2 linked regions of the Anolis sagrei genome follow. The protein of the gene in region 1 binds, or shares a complex with, the protein of each later gene. Links are inferred from orthologs where the notes say so. Each region holds a gene or a part of one and is shown in the gene's direction. Other genes may lie near its edges.

Region 1 (11,268 bases):
GGTGCATGGGGAGTGATTTTTTTTCTTTGTGTCAGGAGTACCTTGAGAAACTGCAAGTCGTTTTTGGTGTGAGAGAATTGGCTGTCTGCAAGGACATTTTCCAGGGGATGCCCAGATGTTTTACCATCCCATGGAAGGCTTCTCTCATGTGCCCAAATGGGAAGCTGGAGCTGACAGACAGGAGCTCAACCTGCTCCCCAGATTTAAACCACCAACCTTTTGGTCAACAGTCCTGCCAGCACAAGGGCTTAACTCATTGCACCACCAGGGACTCCGCATGGGGATTAATACTGGAAGAGGATATTTCAAAGGCAATGGCAGTGGTGTTTTAGCTGACTCTAAAAGAGCAAGTGCTGTGCAGAAGGCTTCACCGGTATACCACATCTGAATATTTATTTATTTATTTGTGACATTTATATGCCGCCCTTCTCACCTCGAAGGGGACTCAGAGTGGCTTACAAGATATATATACATACATTCTATTATTAGCATAGTACAATATCAGTATTTTATATTACTATATTATACTATATTACTATATTTTATTTATTTATTTATCAATTTTATATGCCACCAGTCCCCAAAGGCTCGGAGCAGTTTACAATATACATATGCGATACATTACATTTAAAATCAAAGAAAATTTCAATCAGCAAGATTCAAATGCCAGCCTAAATAAATAAGTTTTACAAGCTCGACAAAAAGATGGTAAGTCTTGGAGAGCTTGTGTTTCCGCTGGCAAGGCATTCCACAGGTAAGGAGCCACCACCGTGAATGCTCTACACCTAGTAGACATCAGGTGAAAGGTCCTAAAATTGGGAACTTCAAGGAGATTCTGATCGTCTGAACTGAATGATCTTGGGGGTTGGTAGGGGTGAGGCGGTCCCTCAGGTACTCCAGCCCCAGGCCATATAAGGCCATAAAGGTAAGAATCAGCACTTTGAAGGTAATATTGTATATTGTAGGGCAAGATGGATGGATGGTATCCTTGAAGTGACTGGATTGACCTTGAAGGAGCTGGGGGCGGTTACAACCGACAGGGAGCTCTGGCGTGGACTGGTCCATGAAGTCACGAAGAGCCAGAAACGACTGAATGAATGAACAACAACATATTGTACTATACCATTATATTGTAATATTATTAGTAATATTATATGTAAAATAAAATATATAATTATAATTATGAATATCCTCCAATATGAAAATCTTATGATGAGTCATTCCAAAATGAAGAAAGAAATAATGCCAGAAGATGAGATTAATGATGCAACTGGACTCAAGCCAAAAAAAAAACCCCTTCAATTGCTAATATGCTCAGACATGAAAGGAAATGCCAAAGCTGCACAACATTATATTATACCTGATTTGAAATATATTTCTAGAGACATGAAACAGATGCAGAGGTTTGTATTTTGTATTTCTGCATATTCTGATCAAGGTATGAAAGTAGGCACTGAGCAGTCAGGAACCAACTGTATGAAATACAAAACATCAATATGTCACAACAGTATCTCTCTACATCAATATCTCTCTGCACCACATCAATATCTCTTTAGTCCAGGTGTAGAATCTTCAAGTATTCATTAACCCTCATGACAACTTTAAGCCCCATCTTCACATCATGTTGCCAGTTGCTACTGGATTTGGTGGGGGATCTCCTGGGCTTTCAAAATTGGACCGAAATAGCCAGTTCCTATGGACTTCTATATGTGCAATTGGCCCATTTTAGGACAATAAACGTGACACTGAAAGTACAGATGGTGATAAGGAACCAATAGCCATGTGGGCTGCATGCAATGCATGGATGGAATTTCCCCCACATAGTCCAGCACCTGATTACCAGAAGTAACTAGTCGGATACCTCACAGGCAAAGCACAACAGCACAGTCCTGTCCTGTTACTTGACTAGAACATGTGGGATTCAGAGGTACAGTGTTTAACGTACATGTCGGTTCAAAAACCCACTGTGTGACCTTGGGCCCCAGTGTTAACTTAGGCTTGCCTTAAATCAGAAATGACTTGAAAGCATACAGCAACAAAGGCACTATTTAGCTATCAAGGTTAATAGGCTTATCACCAGTCATTCATTAGTCATGTCTACCCAAACAGAAGTAACAGGTTCCACCAAGAAAAAGAGGAAGAATAGGAGGAGAAAGCTGACTTTAAGAGAGAGAAATATTTAGTCACATTCCTTGGGGAGAAGGATAAGATGGGCTGCACAGAAGGTATGTTCACAAAGCTATGCTATTTCTGTTTTTGGGTGGATGCTGCGATCTCCATCCATTCCCACATACTGCTGCAATTAAACTGTTGTTCATTGCAGTGATTGACAGAAAGGAATCACCTATTCCTTTGTATAAACTAATACATTTTAGGGTTGATGATTAAAACTCTCATAGTTGATTAATCATCAGGCGTCTAATCAATGAAATTTAAATGTATTTGCATATTACCAAAAACGTAATGATTATAGGTATTTTTAAAGGACATTATGCCCTTAAAGAAGTTTTTTAAATGAACAAAGAGCTACTTTTCACTATCAGAACTCCAGTCTGCCTGGTGTTGGGTTTTAAAGGATTAAAAAAGCATACGCCAATTTGCCTTCCCATCTCAACCATACTGATTGCAATTTGCCCCAATCAACAACTGAACTAAAGCTTTGCTGGCTTAATCTACCAATTACATTGATTAAAAATGGATCTGATATAGATTCAACAAGTCTTTGCTCAGATGGGAACACCACTAATCTGAACATATAGAACATGACCAGGAACCTGAGGAATCAGGAATCTTCTTCCCATAAAAGTCACCAAACCCCATATGAACTTGTAAACTGATCAGTACAGGTTGAAATCACTTATCTGAAATTATTATTTAAAAATTATTTAAAACCTTTATATCCCAATCTTCTCAACCGCCGTAGAGGGACTCAAACTCAGACCAGAAATGTTTGTGACCAAAAGTGTTCTGGATTTGAGAAGATTTTTTCCAGATTTTGGAATGCCTGTATTTGTGTACATAATGAAATGTCTTGGAGCTGAGGCCCAAATCTAAACAAAATTCAATTATGTTTCATATATACCCAACACACATAGTCTCAAGGCAAGGTTATACAATGGTTTTCATAATAGTGTGCATGAAATAAAGTGTGTGTGCACTGAACCATCAGAAAACAAAGGTGTTGCTATCTCAGCCATCCATGTGGAATGTTTTGAATTCTGGAGTACTTCCAATTTCAGAATTCTGAATAAGGTGTCCTCAGCCTGCACTTGGATACAAGACCATTAAAATAATAGGTCTATAGGCCGTTTTTCAGGGGAATGAACTAGCCACACCACCTCTGAATATTCCTTGCCTTAGAAAATCATTTTATCCATGTGGTCACTACAAGTCAACAGACAACTTGAAGGCACATACAGGATCTTGTCACATGAGGGGTAGGGCAAGCGGGGAGAATCATCCTCTAAGGACGTCATCACACACAGTAAAATCAGCGTTTCTGCACATTTAAGAAATGGCTACCGACAGAGCCCTTCACAAGACACAAGCTCATACCATGGGTTTCAGGTATTTCTCCATTTCTAAAATGTGTTTTTCCCCAAAATATTAAGTGAAAGCTTTGAAGCCAATTGTTTCCCCGGCTTCACAAGGCTCCATTTCTCTTCACTTTAAAGATGAAATCCACTGGAATCAGTCCTACATCATTTGATGGGCTCAGTAAGACTCTGTCTTTAAAGTGAAGAAAAACAATAAAAAGACTTTCCCCACTGTTGCAGCCCAACCACCTATGTGACTCCTTTTCACCCAAGATGAAGATCTACTTAGCCCACATATTGCTCAGTCAACAGGAATCAATCAACGAATCAAATGTTTATTAAAGAAAAGAGTGTTCTATAGAAAAAAACTAGTTCAAAATACATTCCAAGGTAAAGAGTATTAAAGTATTTTCAAGGTATATGTATAAAGCAAAACTGAAAGTACATCCAAAGTATAAGCTGCAAAGGTCATTCCAAAATCTAGGTTACAGTCAGAGTATTCTTGAGGCAGCAATAAATAATGTCCTGTACTGACAGTAAAGCCAAAATGCACAAAACTTGGATCAAAAACTGTATCCAAATGAGATTTCCCGCTTCCAAACAGGAAAACATGACATGAAAGCAGGGCCAAAATCTCAAATCATGGAGAGCAAGGAAAAGGTGACTTTCTTCAGAAAATACAAAGTTATTCTCACACAGAGCAATCCAAGGGGTCAATTTAAGAAACCAAATTGATTTTCATTTAGACGCTATCAAAACAAACATCTGGAATCCCTTTATTTATCTTTCAAATGCTGAGAAAACCTTAATTGCCTCTACTTGGCACTATCTCACCATAGCTGAAGACGCTGCATTATGGACAACTATCCAGCGTCTTCCACCTCCCTGACACCCACAGAGACACATATGCTTGGCTGGAAATGTGAAACACTGCAGAAGTAGAACTAGAAGCAGCACAATTCATGAAGCTAGAAGATATATAGCAGCATTATTGCTACTTTCTGAAAAATAATTATTTTCGCCAAAGTACTAATCTCAGGTGTTTCTGTGCCATCACTGTGTTTACTGGTGATTAGACTTTAAAATACTGGTGTAAGAGAATGCTATAACAGAATGTCCAGTCCTAGAGAGGGCTTAGACTGAATATAAGTTAGACATTACCCTTTGGCTCATCCCATGGGGGAAAGCATTGATCACCCAGCTTCCCCCCATTGATCCAATACCTCACAGGAAGCCTCCTGTGTTGCTGTTTGTTTTTAATTTTATGCAGAGCCATACCAGAAGTAGCTCTATGTTGTGGGATGGGAACCATCAAGTTTCATTACAAAAGTAAAGAAAAAAAGTGCATGCCACCAAAAAGTACCCCGCCTGATGAGGTCAGTAGTGTGGATGTTGGGACCTCTAAGCACTACAAGCAGGGAGAATTCTAGTCTGACATTTGACTACAAAGGATATTGTGTTTATATTTTGTTTGAATTCTTCATGAGTCTGTTGGAGATTGTCCTAGAATCCATCGGACGAACTTCTGTTTAGAACTAATTTAAATAAATAAAGAGTTAATATCTAAGAGAAACAGAAAACAAGTTATATGTACTTTGAAAGGAATAATGCTTAATATCCTTTCAAACATTGTTGCCTCAGTATGTTAGTCTGTGTAGCCTGGAGTCAATCCCACTGAACTCACTAGATTTACTTCTGAGTAAATATGTCTAAGAGCAAGCTGCAGGAAGCTTATTTGTGGCACTTTGAATTGCAATTGATTTACTAACTCAGGCTTATAAATCTCTGCGTATGGAGGAAGTCTTGACCATATGGGAGCAGTGAGCAGCTGTACTAGGGGTTAATTTTGTAATCATTCTTTAGTATGGTTATGATCCCAACACCAGCTCAGTCAGTAATTCAGTAGAAAGGAGAGGGAGGAACCTAGGAGAGAGAGGGAACGGAGTGCTTGTGTATATGCATGCATTTCTCTCTGCGGCATCCAAGCTGTCTCATATCTTATTAGAAGCAACCGTTCCCATGCTTCACAGCATACTGTGGACAAAGCATTACCCATGGGTGACTGAAAAAGGACTACTTTGGCTTGGACAGCTCTCTCTCCTGTCAAATCCTCCTGCTACAGAATTTTTCAAAGCCCTGTGTGCATTCATCAAAAGAATGAACAGATAAGCTTCGAACTGCATTTTCTGCATTTTCTGGAAAGTGAAGCATGGATAAACTTAATAGTACCATATTTGGCTTCGACCACAATATTTCCTTACTCCTGTCTGAGCTCGACTATGAAAATAATACATTTTACTGCAGGAATCATCGTCAGCTTTATAAAGGTAGGTACCTTTGAAAAATAAACTAGATAGTTTCACCTGTAACTAATCTATAGTCAATAATTTAAGCAAGATTTTAAGTGACAAACTGGTTTTTTGTGGATGTGTTTTGATGAAAGCGAATGCTAGAAATTAATGTAGTGACTTTCTGATTATAACTGCATTTAAAGAATAATGTACAGGTTGACAAGAAAAAATAGCCGTTGTAAGTCAAGACAGAAAATGTTCAAAAGAGAAAGTTAAAACACTAGAAAATATCAAATAGCTTTTCTCAAAGAAAATCAGGACTGCTGTTATGAACAGTATTATGCATAGAAGACATAAATAGATTAAATATTACATGGTACAAAAGAGAAAAAATAGATTCAACTATAAATCATGTAGAGACCTATGTTGCTCTCCTGGTAGCTGATAAGCTTTGCAAACCTCCTAAGTCAGTGGTTTACAATTCTTCACAATTTGTGAGGTGTTCGATTGCAATAAGAGGTGATAAAGTACAAGCAGAGTATGCCAGATTTCTGAAAGGAAGCATGTGGTGTATTCCTGGTAGATAAATCAACGAATCTAAAAACAATTAAAAACTATACTTGACAGAGCAACTGATCCAAATACACACCAGATCTGTGTTTCATTGTACCTAGATGCAGCCTTTTCCAAGCTTTTTGCAGAACCTGAACTAATGTTACAATCCAACCACTGTGACAGTTTTTTTACCCTTTTAGGATAGAACTACATGTTTGGTAGCAAATACAAAATTCCCAATATGATGTCAAAAAAGAGATGGGAAGGGGATACTGGCGAGGAAGAAATAACAAGCACAAATGGCTGCTTAACCCTTCCTCCATGTATCACCTTTCTTCCAGGTTTCCCCTCTGTTCCTCAAGCCCAGCTACCCATCTTAAGTTAACTAGCAAGTAGAACTCAGAAAGCCATCTGGAAGAGAAGTAACTGGAGGGCCCTTCCACACAGCCCTATATTCTAGAATATCAAGGCAAAAAAAAAAATCCCACATTATCTGAATGTGGACTCAGATAACCCAATTCAAAGCAGATATTGTGGGATTTTCTGCCTTGATATTCTGGGATATAGGGCTGTGTGGAAGGACCCTGGAGAGGGAGCAGGCTAAGGAAATGTAGCCAGCATGGAAATGGGTTAAGCACCTTTCCTCTTACCTCTCATTTTTCGAGAGCTGGAAAATTGGCTTTTTTGGTCACTGATCATGCTTATGAGGTGATTCTTATAGCTGTCCTACAGAAATTCTGTTTCTAGGCTCTGAATTCTTTCCCATGCAAATTACACTTAACACTTGCACACATGTTGGATTCCAGTAGTTAATTCAGGCTGGAAATTCCATAGCTGCCAAATGCGCTGTTCCAACTGTAGCTGAAACAGGTCAGTTACAAAGACAGGGCTTTGGGGCTTGTAACAATACTTTGGAACAGGAAATTTTAGCAGGTGCACAGTTATGGCACCGGATAGAATAGGACAGAAGCAGATGCCTAGCTATAGGCAAGGGGCAAAATAAAAGGAACCCCCGCTCATGCCACTGCCTCCGCTCCCCTAGTGAATGTTTTCTTCAATCTCCAAATTTCTAGTATTGCAATAATGTGAAACATCAGTTGAATATTCAGCAATACAATGTAGACTTCAAAGAAAAAGAGATGGAACAGTTAACAAAGGCAGTGTGAACAGTTAATACATGTATACCTCAGTGAAGTACATGTGTGCCTGGGCATTATGCCTTTCATAGAAATCTTGTCATCAGAGGCAGGTGTAAATAGAAATACTCAGGTAGATTCCTACAGCACAAAAAAGTAGACTGATAAACAGCAAACATTTTATTCAGAACTAAAAATATGCACATATGAAATTAACCTCTCCAGAGAAGTCTTGCACAAATAAACAAAATGAATTGAATCTTCTGAAAACCAAGACTTATTCCAAAATCAATCCAGGGATTTTTTTCCCCAGTGGCCACTCTTCTTATGATTTGGACTTCCATAGATAGAATTATAGATCTATCCCTTTAAAAATGTGTTTAGGAGTATCTGGTGAGGCAAACATACCTGTTTTCCCTTTTCCCTCTCTTTGTTATTCATACCTGCTCAGTAAGGAATTCTGGAGGCAGCTGTTCACCTTGCCTGGTGTAGGCTGACATATAAAATTATATTGTGATCAGCTAGAGCAGAAGTCCATTCTTTCCCAGCTTAAGGTATAGTGCATTGGTTACTGAAGACATGCTGCTGCCCAAAGTCTGTGTTTCTCCAGACCTCCTTCCCAATATAAATGCTTCTTTTAAAAAGGCTCCAGATAGAGAGAGGACAAGAAGGAGCTTGACAAGCATAAAAAGACTGATAAAAGAAGAATTTGGGGAGTAAAAGAAAATTTCACTGGAGAAGGTGAACATAATTGCTACTGGGAGAGGGAAATACTCTCATTTTACTTTGCCTTGTAAATATGCCCCTGGAAGGATGTGAAAGGGGCTTCTTGAATGATCATAGATGATCAGTGGCACAGTGGGTTAAACCGCTGAGCTGCTGAACTTGCTGACCAAAAGGTTGGCTGTTTAAATCCAGGGAGCAGAGTGAGCTCCCACTGTTAGCCCCGGCTTCTGCCAACCTAGCAGTTTGAAGACTTGCAAATGTGAGTAGATCAATAGGTACCACTTCGGTGGGAAGGTACCAGTGCTCCATGCAGCCACATAACCTTGGAGGTGTCTACAGACAACACCGGCTCTTTGGCTTAGAAATGGAGATGAGCACCACCTCCCAGAGTCAGACATACCTAGACGTAATGTCAAGGGAAAACCTTTACCTTTATACAGTATTATCCTACATATGCAGAAAGAAAGATTAAAGGAATAAGGTGCTTACTGGGTAACATTTCAAACTAGGATAAGGAAAGTTCATCTTACTAAAACAAGCATTTTTAGTAGAATATCCACTACTGCTTTTCATGCACTCACATTATTTACCAATTATTTATTTCTTTATGTAATTTTCTCCCAGTAGGAGACCCAAAATGGCTCACAATTTGAATAAAAAAAAATAAAGCAAAGGATAGTTCATTATACTGCAAAGAAAAACAATTGTAACCTCTTGCAGTGTCTCTTCTGATATTTTCTCATTTTTGTTTACTTTCAGATTTGGGGCAGACAGTTCGGATTATTTTATATTCCCTGATCTTTTTGCTCAGTGTCCTGGGCAACACCCTGGTAATGATTGTGTTGATCCGAAACAAGAGAATGAGGACTGTCACAAACATCTTCCTGCTGTCGCTGGCCATCAGTGATCTCATGCTTTGTTTCTTCTGCATGCCTTTCACCCTCATTCCTAACCTCCTGCAGGATTTCATTTTTGGAAGTACTTTCTGTAAAATTACCAGCTACTTCATGGGTGAGTTTATGGACCAGTAATGCCTCTCTGCCAGGGATGTAGACATTTTCAACTTTCTATATTGATGTGTGTGCTGAGAAATCTTTGGTCACCTTATCAAGAACTGCTTGCCTGGTGTAGAAGTTCCAGGGCCTTTCTTCTCTAAGTTATTACCTTGATAGCCTACTATTTCTCCACGGAGCTCTAAATGGAGTTTGTTGTTTCCCGCATTTTATCTTCCAAACTATTTTGGGAGGTAAATTGGGCTGAAAGAGAATAACAGTGCCAAAGTGACACCCAAACATTTAGGCCAAAATAGACAACACATGGCTTATAATCATAATAGCCTTCCTCATACCTTTTTGCAGTCAACAGGGCACCTCTGAATATGCTCCCATGGCAGAGGCTAAAACCACACATTTTCACATTTATATTCATTGCACTCCCACCAAATTTGGGAGTGAAGCAAAAATACACCTTGCAACACAAGCAGTTTAAAACAATCATTATGAAAGTGCTCACCATTTCCCAGCAGTAATTAACTTCTACACAAGGCACACTTTCCTGCGTGCCGTGTTTTAAAGTGGAAATATTCATTTGTAAGAGCTGGAGTGAGTGCCGATGTCATTTCTGTTTTTTGTGATTGTTTAACCAAGTCAAGGAGTGGAGGCAGCAGTGAACCCCTCTCAATCAAACTGCTGCACACTTCTACAGTATATTGTGCTCTTTAGTTGACACCCAGTTGGCGTGGATGCTGCCCGAAGCTGTGGTGGGTCTCCCTTGTGAAGCACAGATACCCTAAAGTACTTCCCAATGCTTTCTGGCAGCTGAACATGGCAGGGAACATTATTAGTGGTGTGGGCAAGCTGCCCTTCAACTTGCCGACTATTAGAGATTTTTTTCATGGAGGAACTCCTAATAAAACTATCCCTTTCAGCACCTTAGAGAGTTCCTTCAAAGTTCAGACTAAAATGCAAAGTGGATTCACCACTCCCATCAACACAGAACACACCAGTTGCTGCTATCTTTCAAAGGGTTCTCTGAAAACCATAATGAACAATGTAAACATATGCAATGTCCTCCATGTATGTGGTGCTTTTGTGAAAGTTTTGGTTTCCCCCAAGATACAAAGCAATTCCTTTAACCTTTATCCTATTTATTGAAATCTTCCCAAAATCGGATACAAGTGGATTCTGATTTTTTTAAAAGCCCAGAATTACATTGAAGAATCTGAACCAAGCTTTTAATATGTGCCTAAAATCCAGTGAGTCTTGCACTGTGCTCCCAGTATCCTTAGGATACTTAGGCATAACGTCAGACCATCTTTTTCGCCTTCTATAATCTACACATGTGTACTTATGGGTAGCATGGTCAATGAAATTAACGTCACTGTTGCTAGTTGTCAGCACTGAAGTGTAAGAAGTCTTACTTGGGTATTTATATATTGCCACTGCCAACAAAGATCGAATACAGTTTTTGTTTGGAGGTAGGAGGAATTGTTGTTGTGTTTTTGTTGTCAGTATTTTAGAGTATATTTGCACTACATAGGTACAGCACTGTAATGCCATTTAAATGGCAGGGCTGTATCCTAAGGAATCCTGATATTTGATAACGCATGTAGAATAATCTGCTGTAGTTCAGTGGTTCCTGTAGGGCTCTCAAACAGAGAATTATTAAGGTGCCCAAAAACAATTACTCAGACCATTGCAGAATGGAAAACAGATGCTCAAGTAAATTTCTGGGATACTCTGTATAAAAGGGGTGAGCAGGGATATCTGAATACTAGTGAAACTAGAAGATCTAGAAATCAAGAACTTTTTAAAAAAATCAACGGTATCTCTGTTTTTAGAATTAAGATGTCTTGAAAGAATAGAGAACATGAAAGGTAAGTGATTACAGCATATGGAAACAAAATGTATTATTGAAAAATGGCAAAATTAGCCTCAGCATAATATTTCTTATCCATTGTAATGGACACATTTACAGATGTCTAGGTAATTTTGTCAACCTTCACATAAGTAAACCATAAGTTAT
Region 2 (11,386 bases), on another chromosome or scaffold:
AGCGGCAAATAATAATAATAATAATAATAATAATAATAATAATTTGAAACACAACAAGATGAGTCCACAGTAGACAAGATCACTCTGCTGGCTGTTGTATTGGATCACACGTCGGACACTTTCCAAGTGTCTAGGACTGTGTGATGTATTGGTGAATTGTTATTATTATTATTATTAGAAACACAGCAAATTGAGTCCACAGCAGACAAGATCACTCTGCTGGCTGTTATATTGGATCACACATCGGACACTTTCCAAGTGTTTAGGACTGTTTGATGTATCGGCGAATTATTATTATTATTAGTAGTAGTAGTAGTAGTAGAAACACAGCAAGATGAGTCCACAGCAGACAAGATCACTCTGCTGGCTGTTGTATTGGATCACATGTCAGACACTTTCCAAGTGTCTAGGACTGTGTGATGTAGCGGCAAATAATAATAATAATAATAATAATTATTATTATTATTATTATTATTATTATTATTAGAAACACAACAAAATGAGTCCACAGTAGACAAGATCACTCTGCTGGCTGTTGTATTGGATCACACGTTGGACACTTTCCAAGTGTCTAGGACTGTGTGATGTATCGGTGAATAATTATTATTATTATTATTATTATTATTATTACTATTATTATTATTTGAAACACAACAAGATGAGTCCACAGTAGACAAGATAACTCTACTGGCTGTTGAATTGGATCACACGTTGGACACTTTCGAAGTGTCTAGGACTGTGTGATGTATCAGCAAATTATTATTATTGTTGTTAATACTATTATTTGAAACACAGCAGACAAGATCACTCTGCTGGCTGTTGTATTGCATCACATGTCAGACATTTTCCAAGTGTCTAGGACTATGTGATGTATCGGCAAATTATTATTATTATTATTATTATTATTATTATGTTTATGTTTATGTTTTTTATTATTATTGGATCCACTTCCAGATGTCAATGTTCCAAATGCAACCTCACACAGGAGCTCACATAGACTGTAATTAGATACATTTTAAAGAAAGTAAGACTTTTCCAAATGTTTTGGTGAGGTTTTGCATCCACTCTTTGTATCTTTACACTTCATTTGGCGTCACCTGAAAGGGAAATACATTCAGGAAAGTTTTGAAAAAGGGTCTAAAATCTTTAGCTTTTGACATCCAATCAGCTGGTATTTTGATGCAAGCTTCTCTGTGTGCTAAGCAGCTTCATGGGGATTTCTTAGGCTCAGAGGTGGTCTGAAAGCAAGCTCTTTCCCTGAAAGACAGCCCCCAGCTCCTGGGATCTGATGCCCTGAGCGAGGGTGATGCTGAGAGCCGGGAGAGGCGCGGCTTGGAGTCGATGGGGAAGCGAGGGAGGCGCCCCCGTCCCGGAAAAGGCGCCCAAATCCCCGCAAATAGAGCGATTTCTCAAGAGAGAAGGGCAGGCGAGCGAGGGGGAAGCTGGCCAAGGGGATCAATGGTCCCAGAGGACGGCGCCAGGGAGGATCAATTGTGCCAGATGGATCCCCGGCGCCCACGCCCAAGACAGCCAGGCAAAGAGGAGGCTCCAGCCAGACCCAGGAGCTCAAGAGCAGAGCCGGTGCTTCAGACTCAGACGTTTCCCTGGTCCAGGTCCCCAATTTGGGGCTGAGGAAGGAAAAGCCCTCAGGCAAAGCCAAGGAAAGCTGGATGGGTTTGGGGTCTTCCTAAACAGCAGCTGATACAGATCTATCACTAAGAAGTCAAGCTTCTTGACAGCTATAGGCGGTCAAAGAGCAGTTTGATTGTCACCACTTTTAACAGCCATGGCTCAACACTATGGATTCCTGGGCGTGTTGTAGTTTGGTGAGGCCCCAGCCCACTTTGGTAGAGAACGCAAGATATCCTATAAAACTACAATTCCCAAGTACCTGGGTGCATCTGAATGAATGCAGTTCCAGGACTCAATACTATGGAATCCTGTGGTTGTTGTTTGGTGAGGCCCCAGCCCACTTTGGTAGAGAAGGCAAGAGATCCCATTAAACTACAATTCCCAATTGCCTGGGCGCATCTGAATGAATGCAGTTCCAGGGCTCAATACTATGGAATCCTGGGAGTTGTTGTTTGGTGAGGCCCCAGCCCACTTTGGTAGAGAAGGCAAGAGATCCTATAAAACTACAATTCCCAAGTGTCTGGGCGCATCTGAATGAATGCAGTTCGAGGGCTCAAAACTATGGAATCCTGGGAGTTGTTGTTTGATGAGGTTCCCAGCCCACTTTGATGGAGAAGGCAAGAGATCCCATAAAACTACAATTCCCAAGTGTCTAGGTGCATCTGAATGAATGCAGTTCCAGGGCTCAATACTATGGAATGCTGGGAGTTGTTGTTTGGTGAGGTTCCCAGCCCTCTTTGGTAGAGAAGGGAGAGATCCCATAAAACTACAACTCCCAAGTGCCTGGGCGTATCTGAACATATGCAGTTGGATACCACTTTAACGTCCACCGCTCAATACTATGGAATCCTGGGAGTTGTTTGGTGAGTCCACAGCCCACTTTGCTAGAGGAGACAAGAGATCACATAAAACTACAACTCCCAAGTGCCCTGGGTGCATCTGAATTATTACAGTGTATGCCGCTTTAACTTCTACTGCTCAATGCTATGGAATCCTGGGAGCTCTTGTTTGGTGAAGTTCTAGCCCACGTTGGTAGCAAAGGCAGTTTTTAGAGCAGTTGCCAAAGACCATCAGAAAGAATATATTTCTGATGGTCTTAGGAACCTCTTTGGCAGAGAAGGCCAAGGGGAGGGCTGTTTCTGAGACTCCAAGCGGGGAGAGGAGAGCAGGTGTGCTTGGCGCATGGTAGCATGGAGCACATGCGCGGGTGAGGGAGAACATGCGGGGCTGGAGGGAGGGAAGTTTAGCTCAATTCCATTATTTGTGGGGTTCAGAATGCTCTTTGATTATAGGTGAACTATAAATCCCAGTAATTACAGCTCCAAAATGTCAAGGTCTATTTTCCTCAAACTCCACCATTGTTCACATTTGGGCATATTGAGTATTCGTGCCAAGTTTGGTCCAAATCTGTCATTGTTTGAGTCCACAGTGCTCTCTGGAAGCAGGTGAACTACAATTCCAAAACTCAAGGCCAATGCTCACCAAACTCTTCCAATATTTTTTGTTGGTTGTGGGAGTTCTGTGTGCCAAGTTTGGTTCAATTCCATCATTGGTGGAGTTCAGAATGCTCTTTGATTGTAGGTGAACAATAAATCCCCACAACTACAACTCCCAAATGACAAAATCAATCCTCCCCAACCCCACCAGTATTCAGATTTGGGCATATCGGGTATTTGTGCAAAATTTGGTCCAGTGAATGAAAATACATCATGCATACTAGATATTGATATTACAATTCATAACAGTAGCAAAATCACGGTTATGAAGTAGCAATGAAAATACTTTTATGGTGAGGGGACACCACAACATGAGGAACTGTATTTAGAGGTCATGGCATTAGGAAGGTGGGCATCAAAGGACTCCCAGGAACTTGCATACAAACTTCTTGGAAAACACATACAAACATACATACAAGCAAACATATTTTCACTTTTATTGTAAACTCGCCATCTCCTGCCACACGTTGCTGTGGCCCACATGAGGGTTCTGTGTGGGGGGTTTGGCCAAGTTCTATCGTTGGTGGAATTCAGAATGCTCTTTGATTGTAGGTGAACTATAAATCCCAGCAACTACAACTCCCGAATGTCAAGATTCTATTTTCCCCAAACTCTACCAGTGTTCACATTTGGGCATATTGAGTATTTGTGTAGAGTTTGGTCCAGATCCATCATTGTTTGAGTCCACAGTGATCTTTGGATATAGGTGAACTACAACTCCAAAACCAAAGGACACTGCCCACCAAACCCTTCCAGTATTTTCTGTTTGTCATGGGAGAACTGTGTGCCAAGTTTGGTTCAATTCCATCGTTGGTGGGGTTCAGAATGCTCTTTGATTGTAGGTGAACTATAAATCCCAGCAACTACAACTCCCAAATGACAAAATCAACTTTTTTGAGTGAAGGACATACATTGGGTTGTTAGGTGTCTTGTGTCCAAATTTGGTGTCAATTTGTCCAGCGGATTTCGAGTTCTGTTAATACCTCAAACAAACATTACATTTTTATATAGATAGATAGATAGATAGATAGATAGATAGATAGATATAGACGTAGACGTAGACTTAGATGTAGGCGTAGATGTAGAAGAGGCGGGGGATACGCTGTTTTTTCCTCCCAATCTGGGGCAGGATAACATGTTCTCTTTAATAGGTAACATTCTGTTTCATTTCACTGGGCTATGCTTCCATCTATGATAACCCATTTCAATTTATTGTTAAGCTGTCATATATGCAGAAGGCATTGGTTACATTACCTGAACTCAGTTTTTTCGTCATTGTTGATGATTAAACTTCTCTTCAAGCAGGTACACTCAAAAATGTTTGATCCCTTGTTGTGGATTGAGACAAAGTTAGTTGCACATGAAGCCACCAGAAATAAAATTAAATAATGTTCAACTTGTTCTGGATTCAGTGCACATATGGATGGCAGCTAGGAAGTCCATCATGTCGCATGTAGCAGAAATGGGGCAGAAGAGTCAAAGCAGCTGTGCGCCTGCAAGGAATGATGTTTAGTTTGATGGAACTGTTTGATGCATCCCTGAGCCCCCGGTGAAACAATGGGTTAAGCCCTTGTGCCGGCAGGACTGAAGACCAACAGGTCAGAGTTTTGAATCTGGGCAGAGTGAAGATGAGCTCCCTCTGTCAGCTCCAGCTCCCCATGTGGGGACACTAAGGAAGCCTCTCCCAAGGATGGTAAAACTTCAAAAACATCCCAACGTCCTCTGGGCAACCTCCTTGCAGACGGCCAATTCTCTCACACCAGAAGCAACTTGCAATTTCTCAAGTCGCTCCTGACACACACAAAAAACAAAACAAAACAAAAACAAAAACCTAGTAGGTTTTCAAGATTGAGAAGAGAATCAAATGCTGGTCCTCAGCGTTATAGTCCAATTCTCAAATCACTACACAGTATTGGTTCCCATACCAGTCTATATTTACAGTGTAATTTTATGTTTGCCTGTTTAGAAGTAAAGGGTTCTGTACTCAGGGGTCTAGAATCAGTTTCTGGAATATCTGACATAGTTTTCAACAGTCATCATCATCATTAATACAAATTAATATTGTACTACCAACTGCTCCAATACACCTTTAAAATGATAATGCATACCTAATTGTATTCCCATTGGGTATTTGGGAGAAGAATATCCAGTGCTTCATAAGTTTGCTGTGTGCCTGCAAGGAATGATGTTTAGTTTGATGGAACTGACATTGCATAGAGTGCATCCCTGAGCCCCCGGTGGCACAATGGGTTAAGCCCTTGTGCCGGCAGGACTGAAGACTGACTGACAGGTCAGAGTTTCGAATCCAGGGAGAGTGAAGATGAGCTCCCTCTGTCAGCTCCAGCTCCACATGTGGGGACATGAACGAAATCTCCCACAAGGATGGTAAAACATCAAAAACATCCCAGCGTCCCCTGGGCTACATCCTTGCAGACAGCCAATTTTCTCACTCCAGACACAACTTGCAGTTTCTCAAATCGCTCCTGACACAAAAAGAATATCCCTTCATTGGCTAACCAAAAGAAAATCTGACTGTTCAGGGAAGATAAGAAATAACTTTCAGGACATTCATTTGGGAGGCTCAGCGCTGTTTAGTTTTAGTTACGGGACAGGAAGAATTGTCAGGGAAACACCGACAGGATTAAACTCCAGGAGTCCTGTCTTTTCTTTAGGATGCTTTCATCTCTCCAAGCCCCCTCGCATCCTCCCCTCCCCATATGCTTCGCTGCTTTGCTCCATCCATGCAGCGAAGCATGTGGTGCTCCCACAGTTGCGTCAGATCTGTGCAAACAAACTACGTTCTTCCCATTGTTGAACCAGACTATTTAAGAGGCAGAGCAGAAGGGCTCAGCCACCACCTCAAGGCTGCCTCTTCTCTCTGGTGTACAGCAGGAATCTGCACCTCATTCCAAAGGTAAGATACCATAACAAACTTCTAAGTTTCATTAGAGCTGGCTGGGTGGTGAAAAACCAAAGGCAGAAGTAATTTTCTTATTTTTCAAAGTGAACATTTATCTTGGACTACACTGATAAATTGGAAAAATATAGACAGCTACAACCTGCAGAAACGTACAAGGCAGCTCTAGGAGTATATTGTTATTTGTGTGTTGTGCTTGCAACTTTTCTGAATCTTTTGCTAATGTGGATGATGTTGGTTAACAGAATCCTGTTTCACAAGACTGGATGTTTAACTTGTTCTTTTTTAGCCAGAACTTTTGCTGTGTGAATTTGTCTCCGCTGTGCTAAAAGACAAAGATACTTTTGCATAAAGAACAGAAATATGGGATGTTTGTTTTTTTTCCCCCTGAAACTCCAGTCCTAAAAGTATTGAGAGCAAGTGTTATTTTATTTCAATCCAACATGCAATGCAGTCGTATATATGTCTACTTAAAAGTAAGACACCTTGAGTTTAAAGGTAAATGTGTATAGTTTATAGTTTTAATGGATTAGGTGATAGGTGTCTAGGAAACTGTAGTCTTTTTATCCTTTTACATTCCTACTTCTGATTTGTTAATTGGTACAGGGAAACTAGATGCAGGATGATGTTTTGACTCATTTTTATTCCCCGTACAACCAACCTAGCTTTAGAGTTTCAAAAAAAGGTGTTATGTATGTACTGTGTAGTATGTGTAATACTTAAGGAGGTTTATGTTTTTAGCACGCAGTACAGAATTCGGCATGATTGAGCCAACTTTTCTTGCTGTGTAGGATACATGTTAAACTCTTCTGCTAAAATATGTGGTACATGCACACCCTTAGTTGAGGATGGCTCTTCTTCTGATTTCTGTGTGTAAAATGGGATAGTAGTGTTGGAATTCAACCCCACACTGCCCAAGTCTCAAGTTCTTAATGAGGAACAAGTTGGTTAGAATAGGCTAAGTGTTTCATTTCCCCCATGTCTCCTGTTTGACAGATAGGAATGTATCTATTTCTTCTCTCCTCTCTGTTTCTGCTCTTATTCTGATTGTTTGTGTAGATTGGATACTTTTCTACTGCAAATCTTTTTAAATCTGACTTTTGGGGGGGGGGGTTACATCTGAGTATGTGCTGTGTGCTTTGAGATCTCTCTCTGTGTGCGTGTCAGATACATGTAGTGATTGGTGTTTTTTCCCCCTCTCTTTGAAAGAGATGGGTGTTAGATCCAGTTCTTTACTAAGAAATGCAGTTATTGTTTATTATTGTAAACAAACCTTTTGTGATTTTTAAGATTGGACTCTACATCTTTGCCTGCCTAAGCTCTAAATTCTTTACACTCATAACCAACGGCACTTCATGCTCTGCTCACTAATGAGCTGAATGCTCAACTTTTAAGTATCCTGTTTGATTTTTTGGATGCTCTGCTATATTTTCAGGTAGTTTTATCTAACAACTACAATATATGAAGTGTGATTATTTCATAAATGTGTCAAATCATAGAATCAGTACAACTCTCTCTCTCTCTCTCTCCCTCTCTCTCTTTCTCACACACACACATTTCTAGTCATACTGTTTTCCTCTCTAAATCAAAGCATCTTCACAAATGGCAGATATCTATCTCCATCTATATCTATCTATTTTGAAGGAATGCATATGAAACTACCTAAGGTTACTTAGGATGGTGAAATCCCTTTCTTGCAGATCAGAACTTTCATTCACTCTTTATTCATAACCAAATCAGTGTAGCATTTTTCTCTCAAGAGAATCAAATCATTTCAATTTTATTCCAATTTGCATTGGTTACCCCAGAGAAATTAACACCATGATATGATCTGGGGGCATTGCATATCAATTTGGTCTACATTGAAATAATCTGAGAATGAAGTCGACCCTATTAGTTTTTCTAGAATTTGGAAAAGCTGCACAGTGAAAAATAACAACTGCAAAAACACTGATGTAAAGCTTTCACCAACTTTCCCCCCAAAAAGCGAACAGATCATACTTATAAAAGGGCAAAATTAGCCCTCCTTCCATCACTCCATATACTGAATTCTGCATAGCCTAAAAATCCAAGCCAAAAAAAATGCCATGAAGTACTTCACTTCAAAACAATATCACAGAAAGATGTAAGTTTTCCACAAAACAGAATTCCCATAGATTGATTTTCTGTGATTAGCAATTTCAGCCACTGATCTGTATGTGATACTTCTGAAGTCTTGAGATAGATAGATAGATAGATAGATAGAGAGAGAGAGAGAGAGAGAGAGAGATAGAGAGATAGAGAGATAGAGATAGAGAGAGAGATATATATTCATGTTTGGAAACAACTGACATTTAGAACTCTTGTTTTGGCAATACCTTCAATGGACTAAAAGGGAAAGATTGAAAAGACATGTGTAACCTTTCAAGATCTTCAGATCCCTTCATTAGATAAGATGTTTTCAAATCTAACCAAGAGAAGAAATGTATGGAAAGCCTTGGTCTTCAAGCCACTTGTTGTCTTAAGACTTGCAGGCTCCCAGTGGGGTTTATTTGGTGATGTAATAGAGTAGTTTTCACCCAAAGCATCTCTAGGCTGCTGGAGAAATGGCCATCAACAATAAGGTTTAAACCTTGATTTTGTAAGCACATTTCTTGTAAATTCAAAGCTGTCTCCCTCCATCTATCCACTCAGGATTTTCATCATGTTTTCTCCTCTTTTCTCTTTAGCTATGTATAGTGGGATTTGCCTCTTTCTCCTCCTGGCTGTGCTGTCCATGAGCTCCTCAGGACAGCAGACATCGGGCTCCCACAATGGCAATCCTGTGGCCACCGATCTTGAGCAGAATTTGCTGGAAAACCACCGGCACATCCGTAACCCAGATGCAGAGAAAACTATCCGGCAGGTTGATGGCAGCGTGGACCAGAAAGCCAACATGGTAGCTCTTTTAGCCAAATACCTCCAGCAAGCCCGAAGAGGTAAATACTTTGATACATGTTCTAAGTGTATCTAAGCAAAGATATTTCAGTAATTTCCCATCTACCTGCACAACCTCACTTCCACACACATTGGTTGTTGTTATCTGCCATCAAGCCAATTCCTAAGGCAAATCTTTCATGGGGATTTCTTGGCAAGATTTATTCAGAGGCCTTCTTCTGAGGCTGAGAGAGTGTGACTTGTCCAAGGTCACCCAGTGAGTTTGCATGGCTTAGCAGGGATTTGAACCCTGTACTCCAGACATCCAATGCTCAAATCACTACTACACTATGCTGACTCTCTCTACATAGATGTATTAAGAAGAGAAGGCATGTAACTAATGCCTCCCCAGATCCAGGTATTATGAGGACCTTCAAAGACTCTTTCTGGATTCCATTTTATATAGTGATGACCAGAATTATCTACATTATAAGTCATGACCTATATAGAAAAGACAAGTGGTGCCTGCTATCTTCTTTGTCACTGAGGTGATGCATCCACTATGGGGTTTATTCCAAATGCGAAAGGTGGTATCACAACTTTAAACTTCAGACAAACATTCAGAGCTTGGAACTCTGAAACATTCAACATTCGGAATCACCAGCTGTAAATGACCTATTGTTACTCAAAATACTTTTTAAAATACCTCAACATATGATTTAAACATATTTACGAACTGTCCAAATATCTAAGGACAGGTAAAAGTGGGACTAGTTCTTTCTTGCCATTTAGGAGACGGTTGAGTAACAGCTATTCCTTTTATGAACTAATGCTCCCTTGCAATATAATTAATTCCGCTATTAAGATGAGATCATCAAATGCACATTTTGGTGTGCATTTTGGTGTTGTTTTAATGGAATCTAAATGAAGCCCTTGTGACGATTAAATGATTACTTAGTACGGGCTCCAGAGTTGTAAAGGAGGCTTATAGTGCAATCCAATTTAAGTTCCCAAGGAGTTCAGAAGGGCTTACAACTGGCTAATCGGCTATAGGATTATAGAGTCAAGAGCTGTAGTATTTTACTCACAGGAGAAGAAAAATAAGCATGAAAATAAGCTCTTATTGTTAGATTGAGTGTTCCATTACATCTCTTCGGGAATAGATGCAAGAATGTGAATTATAACCTAATGGGCTACAAAAGCTTTTCACCTACAGCAAAATCTATTGTGGTTCACCAACAATGTTGCAGAAGAGCCAGGGCTTGCATGGTAGAGCACTAGGGCATTTTGATTAGCAGGAATAATGATGGCATCTCTCTCTACCCTCTGTTCACATATAGCTTCAAATTTCATAGTAGTTACGGCATGGAGCAAGATAGGTTATCTCCTAGCAAGGATGTTATGAGCTATCCTAGTTGTAATACAAAATATTTGGGAGTGCTTTGTGTCTTGAACTAAAAAATCAAGACCCACTAGCTTTACAAAATAGATGAAAATCACATGAATTGTTTTGTTGATAGGGATCGAAGCAGCTTCCTGTAGTTTGGGACTTTCCTTCAGGGCAAGGGTATATTGCTATGGGGACAATTGTATACAACTACATCACTGCTGCACTAGGTTGGAGATAAAGCAAAGTAGTTCAGAATATCCTTTGTAGTAATCAGGTCTTTGCAACTATTGATTGAAATTTTAGTTAAAGGAGTTCAGGTAGGATGTATGAAAGAAATGGTACTCAAGGGCTCAAGTGACCATTCATACTGAAATGTCCCTTTTGAGTCTATAGGTTGAGTATATCAGAAATCAGTTTAGGATAATAAATCAGATGTGGGAAATGTCACATCTTGGGAATAAGTTTGAATCTCTAGGAAAATAGGATAAATTTGTCCCTCTGAAGTTCTCCAGAGGGCTACATCCCTTTTTCCATGAAATAATTTTCAATTTGCCTTTTTAAAATGTATGTAATTTGAACATATATATACTGGCTGCTGGTGACCAGGCTCCAAGGCTAGCTTTAAGGGAGCTGTCCAAGGTACTGAAACTCATCCTCAAATTAAGTTTAGCAATTTAGTATCTTTAAGATATTGTATCCAAAATCTGGAATCACAACCCCAATGACATGGAAACCACTGGCTGCTACTGCATTTAGGCATTAACATTTCATCGGTAAGTCATAGCCTTCTATGTGTGCACATTCAAGTTGCATGTTGACCTATGGCAACCCTATGAAATTCATGTGGTTTTCTTAGGCAAGGAATTCTTAAGTTAGTTTTATCAGTTCCTTTCTTTGAAATATAGCCTACATATCTGTTATTCATTAGTGAATGAATGTTTGGTCCATTAATTCTTCTAAGTTTATATAAGTATAACATATACATTCTGATTTACTCCAGTAATCATCGGATGGCAAGTAAAAATACTATCACTTTGTCTATTTTCACAGCAGCCC

What was found.
Region 2: the proteins of CCKAR (region 1) and CCK are in contact, whole or in part, in a cryo-EM structure (PDB 7MBX), measured with the Homo sapiens proteins. The link is inferred for Anolis sagrei from reciprocal best matches to the Homo sapiens genes CCKAR and CCK. Residues at the interface, in NP_000721.1 of Homo sapiens: Cys94, Phe97, Asn98, Pro101, Asn102, Lys105, Asp106, Phe107, Thr118, Met121, Gly122, Val125, Tyr176, Phe185, Asn194, Met195, Cys196, Arg197, Phe198, His210, Leu213, Leu217, Ile329, Phe330, Ala332, Asn333, Arg336, Ala343, Glu344, Leu347; in NP_000720.1 of Homo sapiens: Asp96, Tyr97, Met98, Gly99, Trp100, Met101, Asp102, Phe103.

The regions. Positions count from the first base shown.
Region 1 is NC_090025.1:113,172,304-113,183,571, reverse strand, and holds the start of CCKAR (cholecystokinin receptor type A), read left to right. Parts: upstream 1-5,738; 5' UTR 5,739-5,745; coding exon 5,746-5,863; intron 5,864-9,003; coding exon 9,004-9,255; intron 9,256-11,268. UniProt on the Homo sapiens protein: Receptor for cholecystokinin. Mediates pancreatic growth and enzyme secretion, smooth muscle contraction of the gall bladder and stomach. Has a 1000-fold higher affinity for CCK rather than for gastrin.
Region 2 is NC_090026.1:76,144,205-76,155,590, forward strand, and holds the start of CCK (cholecystokinin), read left to right. Parts: upstream 1-5,868; 5' UTR 5,869-6,042; intron 6,043-8,753; 5' UTR 8,754-8,755; coding exon 8,756-9,002; intron 9,003-11,386. UniProt on the Homo sapiens protein: This peptide hormone induces gall bladder contraction and the release of pancreatic enzymes in the gut. Its function in the brain is not clear.